Linked DNA regions of Stegostoma tigrinum. The protein of the gene in region 3 purifies or fractionates together with the protein of the main gene of each other region. This does not show direct contact. Links are inferred from orthologs where the notes say so. Each region holds a gene or a part of one and is shown on either strand. Other genes may lie near its edges. The genes, in order: ddx42, sf3b3, fus and heterogeneous nuclear ribonucleoprotein Q.

Region 1 (7,189 bases), on a different chromosome or scaffold from region 3:
TGAATGCTGAGTCACTTGGAAACTGGACTGGCATCTGAAGAAAAGAAACATTCAGGGAAAGAGGATAGAGTGGAGGAAAAAAGATCTAACTGAATTGTTGTACAGGAAGCCAACATGGATTCATTGGACTGAACAGTTTCCTTTTATGCTACAATGAACCTGAAAAATTAAAGAGATCTTCACCTCCATAAAGAGGATGTTTTGCTGTTTGAAGGTTGATCACCTTAGCCACAGCAAATCATTAATCATTAACATAACTTCACACAATTGTTGAGCCACATTTCAAAAGTTGAAACACTAATCAAGAAAACTAAGATGCAAGTGATGTGATGCTGCTCCAGTTTCTGAAAGCTAGTGATCAACACCAACTGTATGGCAACTTCATCAGCAGTAAGTGTCCAGAGCTTGAGAAACATCACCTCAGAGTTGATGAGCTAGAGTCCAAATTTAAAACACTGCTATACATAGGGTCATGGTGGTGGTGGTGCGAGATACTGAATCCGTACAATGTGGTAGCCGCATTTGGCCCATTGAATCCACAAATCATCCCGCTCCACCCCTGTAACCAAGCATTTCCCATGGTCACTCCACTTAGCCTGCATATCCCTGGACACAATAGGCAATTTAGCATGGCCAACCCAACTAATCTGCACATCTGTGGACAGTGGCAGGAAACTGCAGCACCTGGAACACATGGGGAGAACGTGCAAACTCCAAGCAGAGATTGGAATCAAACCTAGGTCCCTGGCACTGAAGCAGCATTGTTAACCACTGGGCCATTGTGCTGCCCTATATTTTGAAGAAAAAATGCACACAAAGTGCAGGCTGGGGGGGGGGGGGGGGGGGGGGGGAGAAGAGAAAAAGAAGTTTGAGGGGTCTAATTCAGTATTGTATTCAGAGAGACAGTCACATCCCTGGGGCTAAGTAATTCACATTTTTTTCATAAGATGACGTGCAGCAGTGAGAGATCAGATAGCAATGAATGAGCTACAACCCTGACACATATCCACCCAAGTTCAAGCTTCTTGATACTGTGCTTAAAGAATTATAGGATCCCTACAGTGTGGAAGCAGGCCATTTGGCCCATCGAGTCCACACTGACCTCCTGAAAAACATCCAAACCAGACCCACCCTATCCCTATCCCGTGCGAGGAAGCCAGAGCAAAGGCATGCAGACATGGGGAGAACATACAAACACAGACAGTTCCAAGGGTGGAATCGAACAAAGGTCCTTGGTGCAGCGAGCTAATAATGCTGACCAGTGTTGCTGTGCCACCCCAATAGCCAGGGCTAAATGGAGGATAAGCAAAAGTGACCACTGATACAGGAGCCATTGAATTTGAGAATAAAATGCAATGTTGTGGCCGGGCGTAGAAGACAGTACAGTTGGAGTCTCTTATTTTCTGCATCCCAGAACACAAGTCCCCTGACAGCCTACTCAGTGTCAGAGTTAATGACACCATCTTGGGGTTACAGAATGAGGAACATGGTATGGGAGGAGAGGAAGATGCAATTACTGTACCCCACCAGAGTATCAATATGAAGGAGCAAGAGTAGGTTATTCAATCCATTGTTTTGTAACCACAGTTCTACATTTCTTCCTTTTTTTTGTTCATTCACAAGAGGAGGGCATTGCTGGCTGGGCAGCATTTATTGCCCATACCTAACAGCCCAGAGGTCAGCTGAGTCAACCACATTGCTGTGGGTTGCGTCACACGTAAGCTAAGGATGGCAGGTCCTTCCCTAAAAGGACATTCGTGATTCAGATGGGTTTTTTCCTGACAATTGATGATGGATTCACAGTCATCATTAGATTCTTGTTTCTAGGTATTTATTGAGCTCAAATTCCACCATCTGCCCTGGCAGGATTCGGACCCTGGTCCTCAGAACATTATCTGGGTTTCTGGATTAACAGAGATAATACCACTAGGTCATCGATTCACTCCAATCTTCTACCCGTTATCAAGAATCTATCGACGTCTGCTTTAAAAAATACAAGAGATTCTGCTACCACATTTTCAAAAGAGTTCTAAAGAACCTGAAACCTCAGATTATTTTAAACGGGTGACGTCTGAGCTTTAAACAGTAACCCCTAGTTCTTAACTCTAATAAAAGAATGCACACCAGCTCTATACTTACTGAGTCAAGACCTCTCAAAGTCTTATGTTTTAAATCAAGATCACCCCCCCACCCCGCTCTTCAGAACTCCACCATAAATAAACCTAGACTGTCCAACTTTTGCTTAAATGACAATCCACTCAATTCAGCTATTTGTCTGGTAAGTCTCCAAACTGACTAGAAAGCATTTACATGCTTCTGTAAATGAAGTGACGAACACAGTACACAGAATGCTAGATATGCATTCACAATTTTTGTAGTTAAATCCTCTTGCATTAAACAGTAACATTCTATAAGTTACCCTAATTAACTGCTGTACCCGCATTCTAAACTTTTTCAATTAGTGTACTAGCAGACACCCAGATCTTTTTGCATCTCTGGCCTCTGCAGTGTCTCACCGTTTAGATGAGTTGTCTTTTTGTTTTAAAATCCTTCCTGTTAAGATAGACATTTTTCTCATTTTCCCCATATTATACTTCACCTGGCCATTCACGTAATCTACCTGCATCATTTTGCAGTCTCCTTGTTATGTCACTTTCTCACATATACGTGCATAACAGCAAATTTGGCAACAGTCCATCCCTTCATCCTAGTCACTTCTATTAATTGTACAGTTGAGGTCCAAGCACCAGCCCATTAGTCGTTCCATACTGCCAAACTGAAAGAGACCCTACGTTCTGCTTCCAGTTATCCAGTCAAAGTTCTGACCATGACAATAAGCTAGCAATTACACCATGAGCTTTCATTTTCCACAATAACCTTTCACAATTTCCATCTGGAAATCAAGTTCAGTTTTTTACGTGTTCCCCTCCATCCACAGCACATTACTTCCTCAAACATGACCTCCCTTTTGCAAAACCATCCTGACTCTGCCCGATTAACTTGATTTAATGTAAATGCTACATAGCAACTTTTTCCAATGACCATTTTTTGAAATACTTCCCCTCAGACAGAATTTACAGGGAGCACTGTTTTATTAGATACTATCAATTCATTCAGGTTTTTATAGTGCAATTCAATCTAACTAATCAAGGGTAAACCAACTTTTCAAAACACAGTAAGAAGTCCATGCCAGGCTCATCAAACACATAGGTGTTCATTAATACCTAGCAACAATTCATTGATTATTTAACACATTTGCTCTTTTTAGGGCGTCCACATACACGATAGCTTGCACAGCTCACTACACTTCAAGAAAGGAAAAGAATGGCATAAAGACATTTTTGAATCTCATAAAACATGAAAACAGGCTCCTAGCCCTCCTCTGGCACGGCGCTCCCACAGCGCTGATTTGAGTTGAGCTGAGCAGTGTAAAGAGTTTTTGTCGTTTTCTGACAGTCAGCCCTGGCCGCAGGTTAATGCTGCAGAGTCAGACTGTTTGGTCAATATAGCCCGCATATAAAAACCAAAAGAACTGTGGATTCTGTACATCAGGAACAAAAACAAAGTTGCTGAAAAAGCTCAGCGAGTCTGGCAGCATCAGTGAAGAAGAAGAGTTAACGTTTCGGGTCCGGTGACCTTTCCTCAGAACCGCATACATGTGGCTCTATCTCTGCAACCCCACGGGCCAAGCCGAGTCAACTCAATCTTGTCCCTGTACTCACCTCAATTCGTGAGCCCGCCGCTGCCGTCTCCCGTTTCTTCACGGCTACCCGCCACCTGCGGAAATCCCGCCTTCTATCACTATTTCGATTGGCACCGAACCCATGATTGACATGTCCGGTACCACAGGTCCCTATCTCTGATTGGATTAGTGCTCTGTCAATCGCCACCCTTCGGCAAATAAGGTCAGAGTTCACCGGCCACGGCTTGGTCCTAGACATCGCCAGACCACGGACCTGAACTCTTTTCGTATTTTGAAATTTTCTGTCAGTCAGAAATTATTTTTCCTTCATCTTTATTTTCTCCCGGCCTCTTTTGCGGTTTCCAGCGTCATTTCCGAAAACAAAAGTAACCGGAAAACCGCGTTACCCCTTGACCTAGTGACGTCAGGCAGTTTGATTAAAAGAAGTTTCGTAAGTGGCACTGTGCGATCTCCAAATACAGAATTTATAAGTTTCCCTCCACTGCCCGGCAATTTCTGAGAGAAATGAATGGAAAATAATCAGTTTTTTAAAAAAGTGAAATGTGTGAGGTGGGGGAAAGAAGAGGCGAGGGGTGCGCATGCGTGGGGAGCTGCGGCTCGGTGGTGGCGACGACGTTCGAGGATTTTCTCCATTTCCTTGGGCCGGGTGGCGCCTGCAGCCGAGGGCAGACAAAGGGTCGGGCTGTTGTCACAAGGTGTGTAACTGCCAAGTGCTCGTCCTCCCTAGTGTAGGCTCCTGGGGCCTCGATTTGGACCCTCCGCTCGATCTGGGCCTTCTCCCCGTCCCGGGTGGTGTTTACAACACTGCGAACACGAGCAATTAAATCTAAGCAGTATACCTGCACCGTTTACCTGTCCTGCTTAAATACCGAGCACCGGCAGGTACCTAGAGCTGGCCAAGCGAGTTAATATTACAATCGTGACAGGCCTAACGAGGGGGAATCCGCGGAAGAATTTGGATCGGAGACTCCTTCGAACGCATTTCTCAGATAGAAAGTAGGAGCAAGTGAAAGCCATTTAGTTCTTCGAGTATGATCCGCCATTCAATATGATCGTGGCTGATCATCAACTCAGTAGCCCCTTCTCGCTTTCTCCTCATACCCTCGAATCCGTTTAGCCCTAAGAACTATGTCGAACTCCTTGAAGAGATGGTGTTTTTCTGTTAATTATTTTCTATGGCAGAATTCCATAAGTTCACCACTCGGGTGGGAAAAGGCATTTCTGTTCAGTCTTATGGCTGGCCTCTAGTTCTGGACTTCCCCCGTCAACAAGAACACCCTGCATTTGTTCCATCTAATCCTCTTAAACTTTTATAGACTTCCATAAGATCTCTTCACATTCTCAATCTCTAGTTTATACGGTTCTATCTGCATCCCACGAATCAATCTGGTAAACATTTCCTGTGCTCGTTCCTAAGACATAGCATCTTTCCTTAAATAATCAAATGAAAACTCTACACAATACCTCAATTATGGCCTTAAAATGCACCAGGACAGCCCTGCTTTTGTAGTCATATTGCCTTGCTATGAAGGCCAACCTTTGCTTTCTTCACTGCCAACTGCACCAGCATGCATACTTACAGCAATTAGTGTGCAACGTCTCCAAGTTTCAGTGCACTTCTCCCCTTCCCCAATTTATCACCATTCTGATAATCATCCTTGTTTTTGCTACCAAAGTGGATAACCTCACGTTTATTCATATTCCAATTTATCTGCCATACATTGCCCCACTCTCTCAAACTGTCCAAATCAAACCATAGCATCTCTCTTCCTCCCAGCAATTCCCTCAGTTTTGTATAATCTACAAACTTCCCTAATCTAAACCATTAATATATATTATGAACAGCTGGGATGCAGGCACTGATCCCTGTTGAACCCTATTGGTCAATAGTTTTCCCTCATAAAATGACCTGTTCATTCCTATTTTGTTTCCTGTCTGCCAATCAGTTCAATATCTATGTCAGTGCACTAATCCCAATCCCATGTTGTTTCCTTTTATATTGGACCTTACCAAACACTGGCTCTCCTCAACAATTCTACTAGTAAGGTCCTTGAAAAATTCCAGTAGGTTTGTCAAGCACGATTTCCCATTAGTAAATCCATGCTGACGTTGCCCAATCATGCCACTTTTTTTTCCCAAGTACTGCACTATTAAATATATAATAAAGACACAAGCATTTTCCCTGCTCCCAATGTCAGGCAAACTGGTCTATAATTCCCTCTTTTCCCTGAAAGGCTTTGATCTGAAATGTTAATGATTCTTCTCAGGTGTTGTCTGTTTGCTAGTTACCTTGTTAACAGACTGGCAGAGGTGTAATTTTGACTTCCAAATATTTTACTAACCATATTAAAAATTTTTGTGTGGTGGCCAAGGGACTGTCTCAAAGTTGAAATCTATTTGAGCTGTTTCTGCATTGTGAATTATAGGCCTGGTTGAGAGTGCTGTTTTATTTAAGCTTTCCCAGGTACAGCTGTACTACTAAAGCAGATTATTTAAGAGTCCAGATATTATGATAGCAAGTAGGGAGGGTCTTGGGTGAGTCTATCTTTCTCGATGACAACTGCTGTTGAACAATATTGACCGGAGTAAAGAGTGTCCTGAGAATTGTCCCTTTTGTCAGTATTACTGTTGAATGTGTTCATTGAAAATGCCCACAATCCTGCAATTGGTCAGCACAGTGGCTGAATGGTGAGCACTGCTGCCTCACAGCACCACGGACCCAGAGATAATGGGAACTGCAGATGCTGGAGAATTCCAAGATGATAAAATGTGAGGCTGGATGAACACAGCAGGCCAAGCAGCATCTCAGGAGCACAAAAGCTGACGTTTCGGGCCTAGACCCTTCATCAGAGAGCGGGATGGGGAGAGGGAACTGGAATAAATAGGAAGAGAGGGGGAGGCGGACTGAAGATGGAGAGAAAAGAAGATAGGTGGAGAGAGTATAGGTGGGGAGGTAGGGAGGGGATAGGTCAGTCCAGGGAAGACGGACAGGTCAAGGAGGTGGGATGAGGTTAGTAGGTAGATGGGGGTGCGGCTTGGGGTGGGAGGAAGGGATGGGTGAGAGGAAGAACAGGTTAGGGAGGCAGAGACAGGTTGGACTGGTTTTGGGATGCAGTGGGTGGGGGGGGGAAGAGCTGGGCTGGTTGTGTGGGTGAGAGGAAGAACAGGTTAGGGAGGCAGAGACAGGTTGGACTGGTTTTGGGATGCAGTGGGTGGGGGGGGGGAAGAGCTGGGCTGGTTGTGTGGTGCAGTGGGGGGAGGGGACGAACTGGGCTGGTTTAGGGATGCTGTAGGGGAAGGGGAGATTTTGAAACTGGTGAAGTCCACATTGATACCATTAGGCTGCAGGGTTCCCAGGCGGAATATGAGTTGCTGTTCATGCAACTTTCGGGTGGCATCATTGTGGCACTGCAGGAGGCCCATGATGGACATGTCATCTAGAGAATGGGAGGGGGAGTGGAAATGGTTTGCGACTGGGAGGTGCAG
Region 2 (6,878 bases), on a different chromosome or scaffold from region 3:
TATAAGATTGGTACAATCCACGGTACTTATGTTTTTTGATCTCCAGGCTCGCACTATTAGTCAGTTTATGGGGTGTGACTGTTGGTGTCTTGATTTGGCGGGTGCATGGAAGGCTGGTGTGCATGATGCATGTGTGGTTGTCCATGATTGCAGCAGCAGAGGGAGAGGTGATGGAGGAATCAAAATGAAATTAGTGGAAGCCCAACAACAACTTTATCTTCGGTGGAGCGGAGAGTTCGGGTGGGAAGGATAGGACGGGAATAGCACCTGAGGGATTTGCATGGCAACAGTAGGTGAGTTGGTTATAAAATACCATGATTATTTTCTATAACCTAGCTTTGTAAATCACTGTGTTAAAAATGAAGATTTACCAAATTTTAATGAAAAGTTTCAGGAAATCAATCAAGTGATATCCCACCATTCAAACTTAGACTCAAGAAAGAAGGGTTACTGGACTCGGAAAATTAACAATGTTATTCTTTCTACAGATGCTGCCAGATCTGCTGTGTTTCTCCAACACTTTCTGTTTTTGCTCAAGAAAGAAGCAATTTGTTGACACAAAACTTGAACACCAAACATTTTAAACTGCTTCAGTGATGGACAGTTTTACAGCAAAATGTCAAGAGTGTTTCTTCCTCAAACGAAACTGATTACACCACAAGCCTTTTCAATGTAGGGAAAACAGTTCCTAATTATTATCCGCTACGACTGTAAAAAAATTTGCAAGGCCAGACCAATGTGGTTTTGCACATTTTTTCCCAATGAAAAGTTAAAGAGTTCTGTTGAAGTATTTGGTGTAAGAAAAACTAATGTACTGTTGTAGTAAAGACCACAAATGTTTTTAACAACTTTGATGGTTTAATATGAAACATTTTAAGTATTGAACCACTGCAGCCTATGTGGTGCAAGTGCTTCCACAGTGCTGTCAGGGAGGGAATTCTAATTTAGAGTGCAATTATAATCAACAGATTCAGGAACATATATATCTTTAAATTAATTCCTCTGCTACTTTAAGGAGACATTAAACCATTTATTGAAAACCAGAATGTATGTCCACTCAAATAGTTATTAGGGAAACTGGTTGTGAGTGTTTTAAAATTATTTTATATAAAGGGAGAACCAATTGATGTGATGCATTTGTATTTTCTGTGAATTTTTTATAAGGTCCCTCTTAAGGGGTTAATGGCCAAAATTAAAGCACATTGGATAGGGGTAATTTATTGATGTGGATTGAGAATTGGCTGACAGATAAGAAACAGAGTGAAAATAAAGGGGTATTTTTCCAAGCGGCAGGCAGTAACTAGTGGTGTACTGCAAGCATTGATGCTTGATCAGCTATCTACAGCATGTTGAATGACTGAGAACATTCCCAAATGCAAATTCCCAAATTTGCTAATGACATAAAACTGGGCTGGATTGTGGTTTGTGAGGAAGAAGATGGAGACTTCACTGTGATTTAGACATATTGAATGAATTGGCAAATACATAGCAGGTGTAGTACAATGTGGCTCATTATGAAGTTTTACACTTGTGAAAAACAGAAAGAAAGAGATTTTGGTGGTGATATATTGGGAAGTGTGTGTACAAAGGGATCTGGGTGTCCTCGTATATCGGTTGATGAATGTAGACAGGCAGCTGCAATAGTGAGTAGAAAGGAAAATGGTACAATGCAAGAGGATTTGAATTCAGAAGCAGGATGTCCAACTGCAGTTATACAGACCATTGGTAAAATCATGCCTGCAGTTTTGTATGTAGATTTGGTCTCCCAGCCTAAAAAGGTTTATACTTGCTATAGGATGAGGTTTACTAGGCTGACATCAGGGATTGCCATATGAAGAGAGAGTGGTTCAACTGGGGTTTTAATTCACCAGAGTTTGGAAGGATACAAGATGACCTGATTAAATTGTATACAATTAAAACTGGGCTGAACGGATTGGATCCTTGGTTAGACAGTCAGAACCAGAGGGCATAAACTAAGGATAAAAATGGTGAGCCTGTGAAATTCTCTACCATAAAAGGCTGTGGAGGTCAAATCACTGAACACATTCAAGAAAGAGTTTTTTTTAATTTATTTTAATGGCATCAAGAGGTTTGGGTGGAAATCAAGATGATGGAATTGTGACAGAGGATCAGCCATGATCACGTTGAACGTTGGAGCAGGCTTGAGGGGCTGAATGCCTTCCTGTCCCCTAGTTTCTAGGTTTCTCCAACTTAAGGCTGAAAAGAAATGTCAGCAAGCTCATTGGTTCTGTAATGAACAAACGCCATACCAAACTTCATCTCCAAAGTCAGTGAAGAAACACAAGATTTTTATTATTTCACTGCAAACTAGATGTTTAGGAGAGAAGTGCTGGGTTGGCTCATTTTCACTGCATTTCTCAATGCTACGCTTCTTTGAAGGCATCCTGATGAATGCCTTCGAGTTCTATGTTGGGCAGCCCTTTTAATAAGACAAGGATAAATCACTTTTGATTCCACTAAGCCTTCACGCACAGTAAAAACTAAGATTTAACTTGACAAATGGACTTTCTCCACTATCCCACGATAACCAGCATGAACCTTCCCCATCCATATGATTCCCTTTCAAAATAAATTTCCTCTTTTCTTTTTCTGCTATCTCAGGCTCATGCAGGGATGCAATTTCAGCAGATAGCTCTTGTTTCCTCTGTTTTAGGAACATAGAAATCAGCCATTGGGTCCATTAAGCCTGTTCTGTTATTCAATGGATCATGGGTGATTTTTTTACCTCTGTGCCATTTTACTGTGTCTTGAACATCCTTAATGACTTTTAAGGTGTAAAGAAAAAGAGATTTTAAAAAGACGAGGCAAATGTTTTACACAGAGAGTGGTTTATCTGTGGAATGAACTTCCAGGGGAGGTAGTGGATTGTGGGTACTATCACAACATTTAAAAGACATTTGAATAAGTACATGTATGAGAATGCTTTGGAGAGAAATAGGCCTGGAGCAGGCAGATGGGACTAGTTTAATTTCGGGTTATGTTTGGCATCAACTGGTTGGACTGAAATATCTGTTTCCGTGCTGTATGACTCTATGACTGAGCTTTCTGAGATTCACCAGCTCGGGTGAAAAAAAGCTTCCTCCATCTCAATTCTAAATTGCTTGCCCCTATGTTCGGAATCTGTGTCCATTGGCTGCAGATGCATCTCCTTTTGCAAACTCTGTAAGAATGTATAATGCTTCAATTAAACCGTCTTTCATTCTTCTAAACTCTAGAGGTTACAGGTCCTTTCCTCTCCATCTTTTCTCACAGGTCAATACCATCATCCCAGGAATCATCCGATGAATATTTGTTGTATTTGCCAGTGACAGGTATATCCTTCCTTCAGTAAGGACAGTCCTGAATCAAAAACTAGAGGCGTGTTTTTAAGAGGAGAGGAGAAGCACTTACAAGGGATCTGAGGGGCAACTTTTTTCCCCCCACACATAAGGTGGTTTGTCAGTGAAAATGAACTGCCACTGAAAGTGGTAGATGCAGGTACCGTTGCAACATTTAAAAACACATTTGGACAGGTACATGAAAAGGAAAGGTTTAGAGGTGTGTGGGCCAAATGCAGGCAAGTGGCACTAGTGTAGTTTGGAAAACCTGGTCGTCTTGGTCAAGTTAGACCAAAGGTATGTTTCTTTGCTGCATGTCCTTATGTTGTAGAGTAGGCAACTTAGCGTTCTAGGGCATTGTCTAAACGAGTGCCTGAAAATATGTTATACATCAATCTGTCTTGTAACTGTATTTGTAAAATTGGTTATTAAATAAATATATATTTCAGAGCCGGAGGTCCGGTGTTGTTTGATTCGATTCTTTTCTCGCGGCATACTGCGCATGCACAACTGGGCACAGGCCCCCGAGTTGGCCACCTATTCAGGCAGCAAGGACCCCAGGCCGGGAGCAGCGGGGTTGGTGACATTGAGGAGGATGGAGCCAGCAATCTGACGGGAAATCGGTGGCATCCTGCGTCCTACAGCAGGTAGCGCCGATTTTTTTGACTCCGGGAGCTCGGGCGGTGCTGATTTTACCAATATTGCCTTTCGATGGTTTCCCGTGGTTGTTTTTTGAGCCACGGTGGGCAGGCTGGCTTTCGGGCCTAAAAGAGGCGCGGGTGCAGGCCGTCCTGCTTCATGAAGGCGGGAAGTCGGTGAGGCCTCTTTAAGGAGGGGCAGATAAACTTGAAGCAGCTCCTGCAGTTTGCCGATGGTGGCAGCAATTTCTTTTTAAAACATCCTCTGGTACATTGGTCGCTGCCATGCGCAACCTAGCTAGTCGTGTTAAATCTGAAAAGAGAGGTATAACTGGATCAAAACCTGCCAACGCACAATTAGGGAGCGAAATATTAGTGGAGCTGCAGCCTCGGTTCACTGCGAACTTCATACAACTTATAGGCTTCACTTGTCCACCTCTTGTGCTTAGCATCCTCATTGCTGAAGAAAATGAGAAACACGTGGATTTGCGAAATGTTAGGAAGTGGCTTCTGCTAACCAGGTGCCCATTGTGAGCCATTATCTGCCAGATGCACATCTTAAATGTGGCCATAAAATGGATCTATTACACTTATTTTTCCCAGTCCAAGCCTTTAAATTAGGGAAGGGTGGTTGTGAGTTCGTATGTTCATCCGGTTTCTGCTGTGTCTTGCTGTTCAGCTGGTTGAAGATAACACGAGAGGGAAAATGGTCCTTGGACTGTGGTTGATCCCTGGGGTACAGAGGAGGTCAACATTTAGGTTGTATTTGCAACAGAGTTCTTTCAGTTCGAATTTGGGGATGTTTGCCAAGGAAAAAGTTCTAGGTTGATGGATCTGCTGTTGGAATTAGGGTACTTGAGATTAGTATTGTGGATGCTGAGCTGGCCCCAAGGCCAGACTCTCCTGTCTACCTTTCTGCAGCCCGACTTCCCACTATTTACTTCTGGGGCCCCCTCCCCCGTCTCGACAAAGATTTTCAGCCCAAAATGTTGACTTTCTTGCTCTTCTGGTGCTATCTGACCTGCTGTGTTGTCCGCCTCCATGTTTATTGACTCAGGCTTCCAGCATCTGCAGTCCTTAACGACTCCTCTGCCGTTCATTGTGCGATACCCAACGATCTATTGATTTTTTTTGTTGGATACACTCAGCAACTTGGCATTCAAGTTCTGGGGCAGAGGATTATAAAGATTCTTAGCCCTCAGTGAAGAAATTTCTCTTCATTCTGAGAATGACTTTGTGTTCCAGATTCTACAGCCAGCAGAAATACAGTCTCCCCATCTCCCCTATCAAGGCACTTCTGAATTCTAGTTCTTAATTAGATCATCTCATTATTTTAACCTTTCAGGGATCCGTGCCTATTACTCAAATAAAGCTGTCACCAAGTAATATATTAGATCTCATCATCAATGTCACTACTTGAAGGTTAGAATAGAACAATAGATCTGTTGAAGATGTGGCAGAATTTATGCATTTTTTGCAGTGAAGTGATATTATTATAATATTAATATAAATTATCAATAACTTTTATTGATACAGATTAGTTGTGGCTGGAATAGATTTGTAGAGAGATAAATGTAAAATCAGTACCAAATACAGAATTCCCCTTGATACTTGTAATGGTGTTAACTGTCATGTTTATAGTGTGAGATCTGTGCTTGCATTGTGTTAACTTTAAATTCTCAAAACTGTTAACTTTGTGTGCATTTAATTAAAATTGTGGTCAGAATCCTTAAAGATGTCTGATTTTTCAAAGAGGATAGAATGTAGCAGCTAACTTTCCTCTTTGCACGTGCAGTGAATTTTTTACATTTAACCAAGATGAGCCAGAGTTTTGAATACCTACTGGCATCCCCTAAGTAGACATAGTACGTTTCTTAGCCAAAGATAGTAATAACTGCAGATGCCAAAGTCAAAGATAACACGTTGTGGAGCTGGAAGAACACAGCAGGTCAGGCAGCCGCCGAGGAGCCGGAAAGTTGACGTTTAAGGTCGTTTCTTCATTTTCTGGAGAAGAGTTCTGACCCAAAACGTGAACTTTCCTGCCCCGCTGATGCTGTCCAGCCTGCTGTCTTCCTCCAACTGCACACACTTATTGCCACATTTCTTAATCAGTGCTTTTTTGAGGCTGGCCTGTTTATGTTGACAGATAATGTTGGAATCTGCAAAGCAGTGAGTTTTACTGAGATGCCTATTGTTGTGCGGCTATAATTGTTTCCTCACGAGTTTGGTTTGTAACTAAAATTTTTTGCTTTTTATTTGAGTATATGTTTGGTTGTGTGTCCTTGTTGCATACTTGCTCTTGCCTTCTGGTGGAGTTGGGTATGTGATCTTTGAAATCTGTTTGGTATTTATGGAGTGTCAATTTATTAACCAGTTACAAAGCTGGCAATTCAAATCAGTTTCCCAACCCAAGCTTTCGAGCTGACATTTACTAATCTTGCCTGAATTTGTTTCATGTTTGTATGTTGCTCTATTGCCTTTCTTCCATTCTGTCACCCAGGTGGCCATTTGTCATGTGAGCTTTTGAGAGCCAGCGTGTTGCGTTATCCTGCTGTGTCTGCAACCTGACTTCTTTTTTCAAGCAGGGATAAATTAAATAAGAAGCAGTAGTGTAGAGACGGGTGTATTTTCCTTTTCGTACTCAAGACCACCATTACGCCTCATTTATCGCTCTGGTTGGAGTCAACCAATTTAGAATACGTGCAGCTCTTTGAACTTAATGCCTCAGAGAGCTACAGCTGGAGTTTCGAATCTCTCTTCACCCTGTATTTTTGTGGCGATGGCTTATTTTAGACCTTTTCTAACCTATCGTTACGTTTTAGGGTGGTGTTTTTGTGGGAGAAAGTTGTTCCCAAACCGGGAATTAAGGTGACGTTTTCTTTTCAAAACTGCATGTGTTCGA
Region 3 (6,848 bases):
AGGACGAGCTGTAGCCCCCACTCTGGCCATACGCCGACGAGTCCCCCGACTGGCCGTAACCACTGTAGCCCTGGTGGCTGTAGCCTTGAGGTGGAGGCTGAGAGTAGCCCCCCTGGCTGGACTGGGCGTTGTAGGCCCCATAGCTGTGAGGGAGAAAGAATAAAAAAAGAGCGAGTTGGGTGACATGCTAGGAAGAGACACAAGCAGCAAAACAGTCACTCAACAAACAGACTCACCTCTGAGGAGCCGACTGTCCATAGTTCCCAAGATCTGCTTTTAGGAAAGAAACAAAAAGGTGGCTTCAATTTTTTAAAAATAATTGAAGAAAACCATATTGCACCAATTTTTAAACCAAGTTAATTTCTCAGTAACACAGAAAAATGAAACAAGTTACAGGAGGATCCTTCAATTTTTTTTAAGCAAGAGATTTCTGACAAAGGGTCTAGGCCTGATATGTCAGCTTTTGTGCTCTAAAGATCCTGCTTGGCCTGCTGTGTTCATCCAGCTTTACATTTTGTTATTGCAAATGCTTTGTTCAGGCAGAAACAGCTAGATACCTGCATAAGATAGATTGTCAGGAAGTAGACGGGGATCTGATTTATTAAGGGCATCAATGGCTAGGTCAGCATTTATTTGCCCATTTCTCTTCACCCTCAGGAGTAATTCAGAATCAACCGCATTTACCATGGGTTGACAGTCATACATAGGTCAGGCCGGGCACATTCGTTCCACAAAGAACATTAGACAGATTTCTCTTGACAATCAATCAACACTTTGTGGACAGATACCAAAACATGACCTGGGTCTCTGGGTTAATAATAATCACAAATGAACCCAAGTAGTGAAGCAGACTCAAGGGGCGAGAGCCCTAATCCTTCACTAGGTCCTACATCCAAACTGCAATTTGCAACAGATCGCAATGGTTGGGGCACAATCCTGAGATTACTACCACTGAGGTCCAGCCTGCAGGCTGTCCGCGACAAACTCTACAAATTCCTAGCACCACTTTGTTGGTCAAGTTGACCGACATCAGTCAGAACGTGCAACCACTGACACCCCTTTTGAACTATCATGGCCTTCTGAACCTTCTCAGTGACGTTGACCACTCACTTAGAACCTCCCCACCTTCCTGCACCTCATCCTACCTCACCTCAAGCAGAGGCTCTCCCTGCCACAGCACTGAATGCAGACCAACACAAACTGAAGACCAATCTAGCCTTAATGGCGGCCAGCAGAGATTGAACCTAAGACAAAGTACCGGTCAGAGATTCTAAAAGCGTCAAGATCATCTGTTACTGAGGGCAACAGGTATAAGAGGTCTTGCTCCAGATGTTTAGAGCTTTGGTGTACAAAGAATTCAAACAGCCCATTCAGTCTCTCCGCATAATTTTAGACATTTCATATCCTAGCGAAACTCCACCGCACTCTTTCCAGTGCAATCAACCATTCTTAAACTGCACACTACATCCCATTTATGGCCAACCAATGTTTCGGGAAGACACAAGACTTCTTTGTTCCTACACTGTAAGAGAAGCCCAAATCCTGGACCAGTTACCACTGGTAGGATCGACGGAGTCAACAGCATAGCTTGAGTAGAGGAATGACTCTAGAACTGAGATGGGAGGAAATCTTCAGCCAAAGGGTGGCAAATCTGTGGAACTCATTCCCACAGAAGGTTATGGAGGGCAAGTCATCGAGTGTCTCAAACAGGGACAGATACGTTCAAGATCAGTAAGGTGATCTAGGGTTGCAAAAACAAAGATACACAAGGGAGACACATCAGCCATGATCGAATGGCAAAATAAACTTGATCGGTTGAAGGGGCAGCACAATGGGATGCCTGCCTGTGCAAATTTCACACATTCTCCCAATGTGCTTCAACAGCATGCTTTGATTTCCCACCTCAAGGCCAAAGGTATGGACATCAGATGGATTGGACATGCTAACTTGCCCAGTGTCCTTGGGATGGGCAGGCTAGATGCATTATGGCTGTGGGAAGTGCAGTGTGACAGATTAGGCAGGATGGGGGAAAAGGTGGGTAGACATTAAGTTCTTGAGAGGGTCAGTGTGAATTTGACAGTAGAAATGGCACACGTCCATGCTGTCAGGATTCGATGACTGGCGTGGCCACATATCTCTCATGGCTTCATGTCAGACCGGATCAGCAGAGCGGGCTCATTTGGGGGTGTGATGGAGGAGCTCGTAATCCCATTCATTTTGGGAACCCCAAACGGCCACTGGGAGCTGCCTACCAATTTGAAGGGTGGACACTTTGGGACTAGAGACAGCACGGTGAAACCACAAAGCCGTTCCTCAGGGTCTTCCCTGTCGGAGGCATCGGCTTTGAGGGCGCGGAGTGGATTGTACGTGGAAGAGAGGGACTCCAGGGTTAAGGAGGACTTGGGGATGTGGGACTCCAAGCCCCGCCCCTTTGCCCCCTCCCCACACAAGGCAGCGGCGTGATGACGTCACCGCGCCAGCGAGGGAAAGGAAAGTAGCGGGGATGGGAAGACCCCGGATGTAGCCTCCATAGCCGAGGCGCTTAACACGACGCAAGGGGAAGGGGCGGCCACAATCCAGCGCCATCCTGCCTGGGGGAGCGTCAACCGAAACGATGGCCAGCGCCACGGGCGCCGGGAGAGCGCGGGGGAGGCATCCGCGGCGTCGGATGATGCAGCCGACGGTGCGGATGGGGTGGAAACACAAGGAACGGATTAGCGGGCGCAATCGGCGAAAAGATGGCCACGCCAAACACCGTTTCTTCCCACACCGGCCCCGCCTATTTCTACACAACACATCCGGAGGGGAGAAAAACGGAGACGGCATCCTCCCGCCGAAAAGTCGCTGGATGGCGAACAATAAGAGACAGGGACACCGCGGGAACAAAATGGCGGCGGCCTTCCCTCTCCCATTAAAATAAAAACGTTGCGCACTTTCCTCATCGTAGCCCACCACCCACCCCAAAAGTAAAACCCATCCTCCTCCAACATTTAGAACGCGAAAGGGAAGGTTTTAATACGCCCAGACTTGGCCATTTCCCCCAACCGCTGGGAACGACTTATTCTTCTTTCTGATCGATTTTAAGACAAAACGAACAGAAAATGGCGCCCGGCGAGGAAAAGGGGGAGGGGTAAACAAAATGGCGGCCGACCTAAAACAATAAACGGAGGCTCAAAACGTCGCTCCCTCCGCGTTTTTCACGTTCATAACAGCCCTCCCGTCCGCCGGAGGAAAGCGGGCCGTGAAAACGACATTTCTTTCACTCTTGCCTCTCTTCCCCTTCAGCCCACACACCGCTTCCTACCCACCAGCCTTACCATTGGACGCCATTTTTGCTCTCTCCTCTCGCTCGGAGCTCCGGCTCCGACTGAGCGTCTCAGCTCCGAGAGGGGCCGGGTCTAGACGGAGGGGGCGTGGCCTTGGGCCTGGGACACATCAAGGGAGAGACAGGGGGGAAAGAGGGCGCCACCCTCAAACCGCGATGGGTGTTTTCCGTCCATTTTCGTTCTCATCATCCGTCCACTGATTAATTGTAAGGTTATTCCGCCGGAACAATCGCAGGTGACTGTTCGTCTCCGTGGCGGATTCGCTCTTTCTGTATTTCACAGTACCGCCGTTCCCCCCTCTCGCTAGAGTTGGTACAGTCAGCGCCGAGCATGTATGATCACGTGATCTCACGCTTCATGGACAAAGGACTGCACCATCTCCCTTCCCGTCGCAGGCGAGGGAATGGTACAGCCGGCGGCTCGGGCTCTACCATCGTGGGGTAGGGAGGACGTCGAGATATTCATCACCGTGAGAATGACCACGGACACATTCCACAGCTCAGCCTCTGACTCAGACAGTTGACAAGAACTTTTCTGTCCTCTCTGAGAATCTGGAGTCTCGGTTCAGTTGAGATTTTAGGCTAGATAAATGTCCTTCCGGCTGAAGACGACCCCCTCAGGACGAGATGAACACTTCCAGGAGCGCTCCCCTAGCATGGGAATGGGGGGAAGGGAAAGACTCGACCATGACACCTTGGGGGAGTACTACAGTGTGTTGTCAACGGTATCCGTTTCATAGCCTATTTTAAGAAGTTAATCCCGCCGGAGACCATGAATCCCGCTACGAAATTTTCCGCTCTAAGGTTTCAAGTCGAACAGAGACGTGAGACTGAATGTGCACATGACCATGGATACCACCCCGCCTTTCCCTTCCCCACTCTCCGCACACACACCCACCCAAACGCGCAGCGAGGTTGCACGGAGTGGGCGGGGCTCGTAGGCCACCGAAAGGTCACGTTCCGTGACTGGATTTTTATGAATGAATTTGGCGCGCAAATGCCTGATTTCCCCCCTCTGGACCTGGTCCCTGCCCCCTCCCTTTTGGGGTTTGGAAAGCGGGAGGTCAAGGAGCTATCCAAGGTCATTCCTGATGCCCATTCCTGGAGGGTTGGGCTATCAACATATGCATAGCTGCCAAGCCCTTACACACATTGTTTTGTTGGGACTAAGTGGGCGAAGGGAGCTTGAGAAAGAGGGAGATGGGCTGAATGGCCTCCTTCACCGTCCTGACACGGCTCTCCCGCTGAAGGGATAGCTGGGGTTCAGGCGGGGTCCCAGAGCGCAGGAAAGTGGCCAACGCACGTCCCCCGTTTAAGGAAGGAGGGAACCAGAAGACAGGAAACAATGGGCCGGCCAGCCTGCCCTTGGTCATCCGTAAGATCTGTTGTCGGGGGGGGTGATTGAGGAGTACGTGCAAAGTGCATGCTAAAACAGGGCTTGGTCAGCACAGAGCAGTCAGGATCCTTTAGAGGAGGTAACGGGCATGTTAGGCGACAGAGAGCCAGCGGACGTGATCTGTTTGGATTTCCAGAAGGTGCCACGCAGGAGGCTCTCGATAGAACAGGACCCCATGATGCGAGGTGCGTGGAAAGGGCAGATAAAACGTGGAGCTGGAGTCCTGAGCCGAAACGTTGACTTTCCTGCTCCTCGGCCCGCCTGTGCCCCTCCCGCTCCACATTTCATCGGCTCCAGCTTCTGCAGTCCTTGCTCCTTCCTGGGCGTGAGCCCTTGACGACTAGAGTTCCGCAGGGAACACAACTGTTCACGTTATACAAGAACAACCTGGATAAAGGAACCTTTGGAAGGGTGATCCCGGGAATGAAGCAAAGGGGAAAGACTGCAGAATGCTACAGTGCAGAGGGACCTGTGGCACTTGATCGCGAAAAGCCTGAAAGCTGCAGAAGTCTTTTTCCAACAGTATAGACCACGCCACATGTGGAGCACTGTGTATCATTTATGTCCCAGGGTTGAGACAGGGGGAGCAGTAGCTATTTCAAACAGGTTGAGGCTGAGACTTCAGGGGTTGAATTCTGAGGAGTGTTACACAAATTTAACCCCTTTTTCGCTTGAGTTCAGAAGGTCAAGGGGCGATCTGCTGGGACTCTTCAAGATAGCAACAGGAGAAAACTGGGAGGATAAACTATTTCCGTTTGCTGCGGACTCTAGAGCCATGGGCTGCCCAGTGGCTCAGTGGTTAGCACTGCCGCCTCCCATGGCCAGGGACCCGGGTTCGATCCCACTCCTGGGCGAATGTCTGTCTGTGTATGGTTCCCGCCACCCTCGACCCTCCACTGCCAACCCACCCCATAGTGTGCAGGTGAGGGCAGATTGGCTGTGGGAAATTGTCCCATAGTGCCCAGGGATGTGCGGGTTAGGGTGGGATTGGCCGATGGGAAATTGTCCCTTAGTGCCCAGGGATGTGCGGGTTAGGGTGGGATTGGCTGATGGGAAATTGTCCCGTAGTGCCCAGGGATGTGCGGGTTAGGGTGGGATTGGCCGATGGGAAATTGTCCCATAGTGCCCAGGGATGTGCGGGTTAGGGTGGGTTGGCCGATGGGAAATTGTCCCTTAGTGCCCAGGGATGTGCGGGTTAGGGTGGGATTGGCTGATGGGAAATTGTCCCGTAGTGCCCAGGGATGTGCGGGTTAGGGTGGGATTGACCGATGGGAAATTGTCCCATAGTGCCCAGGGATGTGCGGGTTAGGGTGGGTTGGCCGATGGGAAATTGTCCCTTAGTGCCCAGGGATGTGCGGGTTAGGGTGGGATTGGCTGATGGGAAATTGTCCCGTAGTGCCCAGGGATGTGGGGGTTAGGGTGGAATCGGCCGATGGGAAATTGTCTGGTAGTGCCCAGGGATGTGGGGGTTAGGGTGGGACTGGCAGATGGGAAATTGTCCCGTAGTGCCCAGGGATGTGCGGGTTAGGGTGGGATTGGCCAATGGGAAATTGTCCCATAGTGCCCAGGGATGTGGGGGTTAGGGTGGGATTGGCCGATGGGAAATTGTCCCGTAGTGCCCAGGGATGTGCGGGTTAGGGTGAGAATACAGTGTTACACGGGTAGAGTATGGGAGTGGGTATGGTTGAGAGGCTTTTGGAGGGTTGGTGTGGCCTCGATGGGCCAAATGGCCTGAGTTCCCACCATAAGGCCTCTATGATTGGGGGGCGACATATTCTGAGAACGAGGGCCAGATCCCTGAGGAGGAGCCGTTACGATGCGCTCTGACATAAAAAGAGGTGACAGACAGAATAGAGGGAACGCTATTCCACAAAGTGCAGTGGATGCTGGACTCATTGTGAGTACTCAATGGGAGATGGATAAATCTTTGTTCAGGGATACAGGCCAATGGCAAGTATAGTTACGCCACACATCGGCCATGACCTCAGTGGATGGCAGGACAGACTCCGCGGGCCGAACGGTCTACATCCCATTCCAATGCAGATGCTGTGCGTCAATGGGTCAGACGAACAAAAGGAAGCAGATCACCCTGTGCCCAGAGACAGTGCACTTACCAGATCGCATTTT
Region 4 (6,934 bases), on a different chromosome or scaffold from region 3:
TTGAGAAGTAAGGGATATAAAGATAGATCCTGGGGAGACACCAGAGGTTATGGTGCTGGGACAAGAAGATAGTGCAAGTGATTTGGCATGAGAACAGTCCCACTTAGCAGAATGACAGTGGAGGTGGTATAGCAATTGTACAACCAAATAAAGATGTAGACCAGGGCAATGAGGATGAAGGAGGAAAGTTTACCATCATCACAGCCACTCAGAAACCAATTTGTGACTTTAGTAAGAGCCTTTTGGCACTACTGCATGAACAGAAGCCTGAGTGGAAGGATTCAAGCAAAAGGTTTGGGAATTCAAGAACAGATATGGGAGGTGGCAATGAATCTGGAGGGTTTTGATAAGAAAGGCAGGTTGGAGTTGAGCTGGAAGTTTGCAAGGGCAGTCAAGTCAATTTTTTTAAAAAAGGTTAGGGTGATGGAAAATTTTAAGTAAGAGGGAGTACTATTGAGGGATAGAACTCATCAATTAACATGGAGGCCTTCAGGCGATTAGAGTGGAGTTGGCAAATCAGCAGTAATAAGTTTCACCAATAACAGAAGAGACAGGACAGACATAAGTAATTTTAAGAAACTTCAGGGGATTCCAATATCCAGCATTAGGTTAGGCAGTTTTTCAAGCAGAGTAGTGAAGGACATTTCCCACCAATTTCAGAATAACCTATAGCTGAAGGCTCAAAGGCAATATTTCTTCAACAAACTTTCCTGGAAGAAGCAAAATAACAGGTCTATGATATTCAAAGATGAAGGGAAAGGAACCTTTTGTATTTAAATTTTATTCATGGAGTTAACTAGATGAAAAACAACTTAGAGCTCTTACCACTAGATGCTGCTAAAAATATGGAGATAAGAATTGAGCAACAAAATCTAGGCCGTATGTCAGGCAACTAATCTATCAGAAATAACCCCTCAGTGGGTGTTGATGATCCCATGAACCTGTTGAACAGCAGACACTCTCCTAGCCAACTGTAATCTCAATTAACATTATTGCAATGATAAGATGTTGAGCTGGATGCACAGCAGGCCAAGCAGCACAGGAGCAGCAAGGTTGACGTTTCGGGCCTAGACCCTTCTCTAATATTACTGCATGATTTGTTTTAACAAGTTTCTTGTTAAATGGAAAAAAGACTGGTGGGTTTAAATCTGCCTATACTTCAATAATGACTACAGTACAGAAGTATTTTATTGTCTATGAAGCATAGTGGGACATCAAGATTAGCATGGTTCACATTCTCTAAACATCTTCAGACTAAATAATAAAACAGTCAGAACGGCAATAAGAACAAGACACAGTTCTTTTCTGCTGTGATTTAAGAGGTTGAAGTTAACTTATGACTCAGCAGGCTCTAGCAGAAACCAAACAACTCAAAGGAAGCAAATCATGATCCGTCTCTGCAGGCTTAAATGTAACACTGGGCAATGCCAGTGCCTGCATGACAATATGGTGAATTTCAACCTTTCAAGAAAACTATCCATTTTGTTCTCTACGTGAACGCTGGCTCTGAGATTAACGCAACAAAAAGATAGTTGTTTTACTGATCTTGTCACCTTATTCTTGCATACATATTTCCTTTGTCTATAAATAGATGAAGATCACTTGCAGGATGAGTCAGTCCAAGCCACCCCCTGTATTCCACGAGAATGCCAGCAGTGTTCTTTCCTTGACGTATCCCCATATTTTTAATGGAATTGAAATTGCATAATCAACACAAAATGGACACAAGAACGTATCAAACTGAAACAGGTAACAAATTGATAGCAAGATAAGTTTTAGTACAGAGTACTCATGCAGTTTGCAACCATACCTGCTAAATACATCTCATCTAGCTTGTCCGCAACTTTCTTTGGTAAACCAGCACTTAATAAAGTTTGATAGTGTTCAGATCGAACAACGGCAGTGGAAGTATCCATCGGCTCTTCCGTACCATTTCCATTCATATGCTCGGTAGCCATTTCTTCAGTAGACATCTGTACACGTGTACACATAAATGAAAGCAAAAATAGGCGCGGTAATGTCTTAGAAATTGATAGCCCTAAATTGACAGTCCTAAAATTATTAAAACATTTAGAGCGGAAAAGGACTAGACATGACCAAGCTGGCTAGGAATCATATTGCCAGATCCGTTTGCAGTGATCTCAGCTTTAGTCATCGTTCCCAGCCCAGCCAGCGAGCTTGCATTAGTAATAGACTCCAGTTCAAAGATAAATGACAAATGATAAAACAAGCCTTTTCGCCTCCTCGAATGGAGCACGATAGCGAATACCGGTTCACGAACATATGTCTGGGATGCGGCAACAGCGGGAAGTGCCGGCCAACTAACACTCCGTCCAGTAACTGGGAAAGGGATTCACCGACACCACTCCAAAGTAGTCAGGGCCACGGAGGGGGAAGGTCAGATCGGAGAGACGGGGGAAAATAAAGGAAGTCAACGCGGTCCTGTCTCGTTCCAGCTTTCCCCTGCCATCCCGCAGCCATGTGACATAGACAAAGGCTACAGTCCGGCCTCGAATCCCGGAGCTAAAAACTCCACCCCTTCGATTTACGGAGTACACACTCTGCTCATTCAGTACAGCAGAGGTCTCAGTGTCCAGGCCCCGGCCCACGCCTACCCAGAGTGAGGCTCCGGGTCTGCCTGCGGCCCATGGATTCGCTGACACTGCTCGATTTTCGGGCACGGTACCAGCCCCCTCCCACCCCGAGTTACAACCAGGGACAACACCAACTCACATGCTGCTCTATGCCAGCAAAGTCAAGTAGATGTGATGCCGGCTGATACTCCCCAAATCCCTCCCTGTCAGTTGAATTACTCTACCTTCCCCTTTCCGTTCTCTCACACACCGACCTACAAAATGGCGGCACGGCACACACCTCCCAAAGCCCCCAAGTTCCACTCACGCGTTCTCATGGTGGGGTCTCCCGACCTGCCCCGCAAGGACATCATCAATGGTGGGCGCGGCCCCAACGTCAGGTCCCGCTCCCTCATCTTTTCCATTGGGTACAAACAGCTGGTGACCACGCCCCCAAAGATGAATGACAGGGCTCCAAGGAATGCATGATCACGGAGTGGAAAAGCCCCGGCTCATATCGAGCTGCAAACCGTTGAATCTTTTCTTCGTAAAGGATAAAGCCAGTGCCATTCCTATTTAATCTTTTAGATCAGATATCAATGCAGAGATTTTGTGAGGCACCCTCGCGAAGACCAATCATAGGGTTGTACGACTATAGAATGAAACCATCCGGCCCATAAGATCGTATGATTTCGGAGCAGAATTAGATCATTCAGCTCATCGAGTTTGCTCCGTCATTCGATCATGCTGATATGTTTCTTAAACTCATTCTCCAGCTTTCTCCTTGTAAACCTTGATCCCTATTCTAATCAAGAACCAATGTGTATCTTAAATTGACTCATTGATAGGACCCAACAGCCTTCTGCATCAATGAGTTTCACAGATTCACCACCCTGGGCAGAATAAATTCTTCCTCATCTCAGGTCTAAAAGGTTGTCCATTCATTCTGAGGCTTTGCCCTTGGGTCCCAGTCTCTCCAACTAATACAAACATCTTCTCCACATCCACTCGATCGAGGTATCTCAGTATCCTGTAAGTTTCAATCAGATTCCCCCTCATCCTATTTGCATGTTTTCCCTCATCTCTTTGTTTCCTTTCCAAGAGGTCACCTGGGTGCCAAATCCTCTAGGAGCAGTCTGGAAGGCAAAGCCGGAGTCTGTTTAAGTGCATAACAGTAAACTTACTGGTGCAGAGAATACTGCAAAACTAAAAAAACTAATTAATTTTAAACAATTAACTAGGTAGAGGTGGCAGGTCAGATCATGTGTTGCAGCTGCATGATGTGAGAAGAACTAGCTGATCCCATCGAGAACAGCAGTGACCACATCTGCAGCAAGTATTGACTGTTTGACCTCTGGCTCAAAATTGATGAGCTAGACTCTGAACTCCAAACACTGCGGCACATCCGGGAGGGGGGGGCGAGATACTTGGATGCTCTGTTCCAGGAGGCAGTCACACCTAGTAGATTAACTAATGTTAATTCAATTGGCAGGCAGGGACAGCAGTGTGTGACTGCGAGTGAGGAAGGTAGAGGGACCCTGCCGAGAGGAACACAGGCACAACAACCTCTGACATTGTCCCACAGGTATGAGGCACTTGCACCCGTGGATGAGGCAACTGACCAAGACTCCATGGTCCAGGAGGCCATTCAAGAGGGGGGAGCTGAGAGACAGATCATAGTTGTAGGGGATTCCATCATTGGGGGAAAGACAGTATCCTCAGTAAACAGGATAGAGAATCCTGCATGGTGTATTGCCTGCATAGTATCAGGGTGTGAGACATCTCCAACCAGCTTGAAAGGATACTAGAGAGGGAGGGGAAGGATCTAGTTGTTGTGGTCCACATCGGTACCAACAACATAGGCCGGATGAGGTGAAAAGACCTGTTTAGGAATTATGAAAAGCTAGGAACAAAATTTTAAAAAAAGGTCTTCAAGGGTCATGCTCTCTGGATTGCTGCTCGAGCCACGTGCAAATTGACATAGGGAGGTGAGGATCAGGGAAGTGTACACGTGGGGCACTGGCATCAGTTCTGGAACAGGAGGGATCTACACCGCTGGGATGGATTCCGCCTGAACAGGGCCGGGTCCAGTGTTCTAGCGAAAAGGGTAAATAGGGTGGTCAATAAACTAGTAAGCGGGGAGGGAGAAGGGAGGAGTAAGCGTACAGGGAGTATAACAATTAATGCAAGGCAAAACAGCAGGTTAGCGGGTGACAAGGAAGCTTCAACTCCATTGAAAATTAGGAAAAAAGGTAATGGGAAGGAGAACTCAACAGCTGTTAGTAATGGAGGTGATTGGACTGAGAAAGAAGGTGCAAAAGCTGGCATAAGGGCACTTTATCTGAATGCTTGGGGTATTCGAAACAAAGTGGATGAGTTGAGGGCACAAATCATGGCAAATAGGTATGATTTAGTGGCCATTACAGAGACATGGTTGCAGGATGGTCATGACTGCGAGTTAAATATCCAGGGGTATCAAACTGTTCGGAAGGACAGACAGGAAGGTAAGGGAGGCGGTGTTTCTCTGATTTTTAAGGATTATATCACGGTGGTAGAGAGAGATGATATAGGTTCTCCTGAACAAGAAGTTGAATCGATTCAGCTGGAAATTAGGAATAGCAGGGAGAAGAAGTCACTGATAGGTGTGATCTATAGGCCTCCAAATAATGACATCATTGTGGTACAGGCAATAAACATAGAAATAGCTAATGCATGTAAAAATGGTACAGCAATCATCATGGGGGATTTTAATCTACATATCGATTAGCCAAACCAGGTCGGTCATGGCAGCCTTGACGAGGGATTCATAGAATGCATCCCTTGAACAATACGTAATGGAACCTACAAAGGAGCAAGCTATCCTAGATCTAGTCCTGTGTAATGAGACAGGAACAATTAATGATCTCAAAGTTAGGGATCCTCTCAGAACGAGCGATCATAGTATGGTCAAATTTAAAATACAGATGGAGCATGAAGCATAAATCCAGTACCAATGTTCTGTGCTTAAACAAAGGAGACTATGATGGGATGAGGGAGGAGTTAGCTAAGGTAGAATGGGTGCAAAAACTTTATGGTGTGTCATTTCAGGAACAGTGGAGGACTTCCAAAACAATTTTTCACAGTGCTCAGCGGAAGTATATTCCAATGATAAGGAAGAACTGTAGGAAAAGAAATAGTCAGCCATGGATGTCTAAGGAAATAAAGGAAAGTATCATATTTTTTAAAAATGCATACAAAAAAAAGCAAAGATTAGTGGGAAACTGGTAGACTGGGAAATCTTTAAAAGGCTATCAGAAAACCAGAAAAAAGTTAAAGAAAAGTAAGATAGATTATGAGAGTAAATTAGCTCAAAAAATATAAAATCAGGCAGCAGAGTTTTCTATAAATATGTAAATTGGAAAAAAGTGACAAGGTAAACATTGGTCCTTAAGAGGATGAGAAGGCCAATTTAATAACTGGGAATGAGGAAATAGCCAAGGCATTAAACAGTTACTTTGTGTCGGTCTGCACAGTGGAAGACACAAATAACATACCAAAAACTGATCGCAAGAAGGTTATAGCAGGTGAGGACATAGAAACTATCATTATCACTAAATAGGCAGTGCTGGGCAAGATAATAGGGCTAAAGGTAGACAAGTCTTCTGGCCCTGATGAAATGCATCCTAGGGTACAAAAAGAGGTGATGGGGAAAATAGCAAATGCACTAGTAACTATGTTCCAAAATTCACTGGACTCTGGGGTTGTTCCCACAGATTGGAAAACAGCCAATGTGACGCCACTGTTTAAAAAAGGAAGTAGACAAAAGACGAGTAACTATAGGCCAGTTAATTTAATTTCGGTAGTGGGGAAAATGCTTGAATCCATCATTAAGGAAGAAATAGCAAGACATCTAGATAGAAATTCTCCCAGTGGGAATACCTAGCATGGGTTCACGAAGGGTAGGTCATGTTCAACTGATTTGGTGGAATTCTTTGACGACATTACTTGCATGGATGGGAGTTTGCTCGCTGAGCTGGAAGGTTAGTTTTCAGACATTTCGTCACCTTTTTTTATTTGAAAAAATGTACTTTATTCATAAGATGTACAAAAAATAAAACATATTTATACACCTACTCAGTCATGCAAGCTGCTCCGGGTTACCCAGGGGGTACACACATCAACTAAAGGAAAAAAACAAACAAAGAAGAAAAAAAAACCAAAAAAAACAAACAAAGAAGAAAAAAAAACAAAGAAAAGAAAAACACCCCGGCAGTCGTCACCCTGCACAGTCCCAGTTGGCCCCCTGACCAGTTGGGGAAGGCGCCAGCTGGGCCCAGTTACCAGATAGAGCCCTTTTTTCTATTCTGGACGAGGGGTTTCAT

The links.
Region 1: the proteins of fus (region 3) and ddx42 purify together in Homo sapiens (affinity purification with mass spectrometry; 3 studies listed by BioGRID and IntAct, with this or other methods). This does not show direct contact. The link is inferred for Stegostoma tigrinum from reciprocal best matches to the Homo sapiens genes FUS and DDX42.
Region 2: the proteins of fus (region 3) and sf3b3 purify together in Homo sapiens (affinity purification with mass spectrometry; 3 studies listed by BioGRID and IntAct, with this or other methods). This does not show direct contact. The link is inferred for Stegostoma tigrinum from reciprocal best matches to the Homo sapiens genes FUS and SF3B3.
Region 4: the proteins of fus (region 3) and heterogeneous nuclear ribonucleoprotein Q purify together in Homo sapiens (affinity purification with mass spectrometry; 3 studies listed by BioGRID and IntAct, with this or other methods). This does not show direct contact. The link is inferred for Stegostoma tigrinum from reciprocal best matches to the Homo sapiens genes FUS and SYNCRIP.

Annotation. Positions count from the first base shown.
Region 1 is NC_081384.1:40,117,834-40,125,022, reverse strand, and holds the start of ddx42 (ATP-dependent RNA helicase DDX42), read left to right. Parts: upstream 1-4,169; 5' UTR 4,170-4,398; intron 4,399-7,189. UniProt on the Homo sapiens protein: ATP-dependent RNA helicase that binds to partially double-stranded RNAs (dsRNAs) in order to unwind RNA secondary structures. Unwinding is promoted in the presence of single-strand binding proteins.
Region 2 is NC_081369.1:5,608,523-5,615,400, forward strand, and holds the start of sf3b3 (splicing factor 3B subunit 3), read left to right. Parts: upstream 1-3,876; 5' UTR 3,877-3,985; intron 3,986-6,878. UniProt on the Homo sapiens protein: Component of the 17S U2 SnRNP complex of the spliceosome, a large ribonucleoprotein complex that removes introns from transcribed pre-mRNAs.
Region 3 is NC_081403.1:1,175,603-1,182,450, forward strand, and holds the start of fus (RNA-binding protein FUS), read right to left. Parts: upstream 3,006-6,848; 5' UTR 2,991-3,005; coding exon 2,960-2,990; intron 274-2,959; coding exon of another isoform or gene 271-273; coding exon 237-270; intron 144-236; coding exon 1-143. UniProt on the Homo sapiens protein: DNA/RNA-binding protein that plays a role in various cellular processes such as transcription regulation, RNA splicing, RNA transport, DNA repair and damage response. Binds to ssRNA containing the consensus sequence 5'-AGGUAA-3'.
Region 4 is NC_081362.1:29,838,103-29,845,036, forward strand, and holds the start of heterogeneous nuclear ribonucleoprotein Q, read right to left. Parts: upstream 3,017-6,934; 5' UTR 2,902-3,016; exon of another isoform or gene 2,734-2,901; intron 1,974-2,733; coding exon 1,811-1,973; intron 1-1,810. UniProt on the Homo sapiens protein: Heterogenous nuclear ribonucleoprotein (hnRNP) implicated in mRNA processing mechanisms. Component of the CRD-mediated complex that promotes MYC mRNA stability.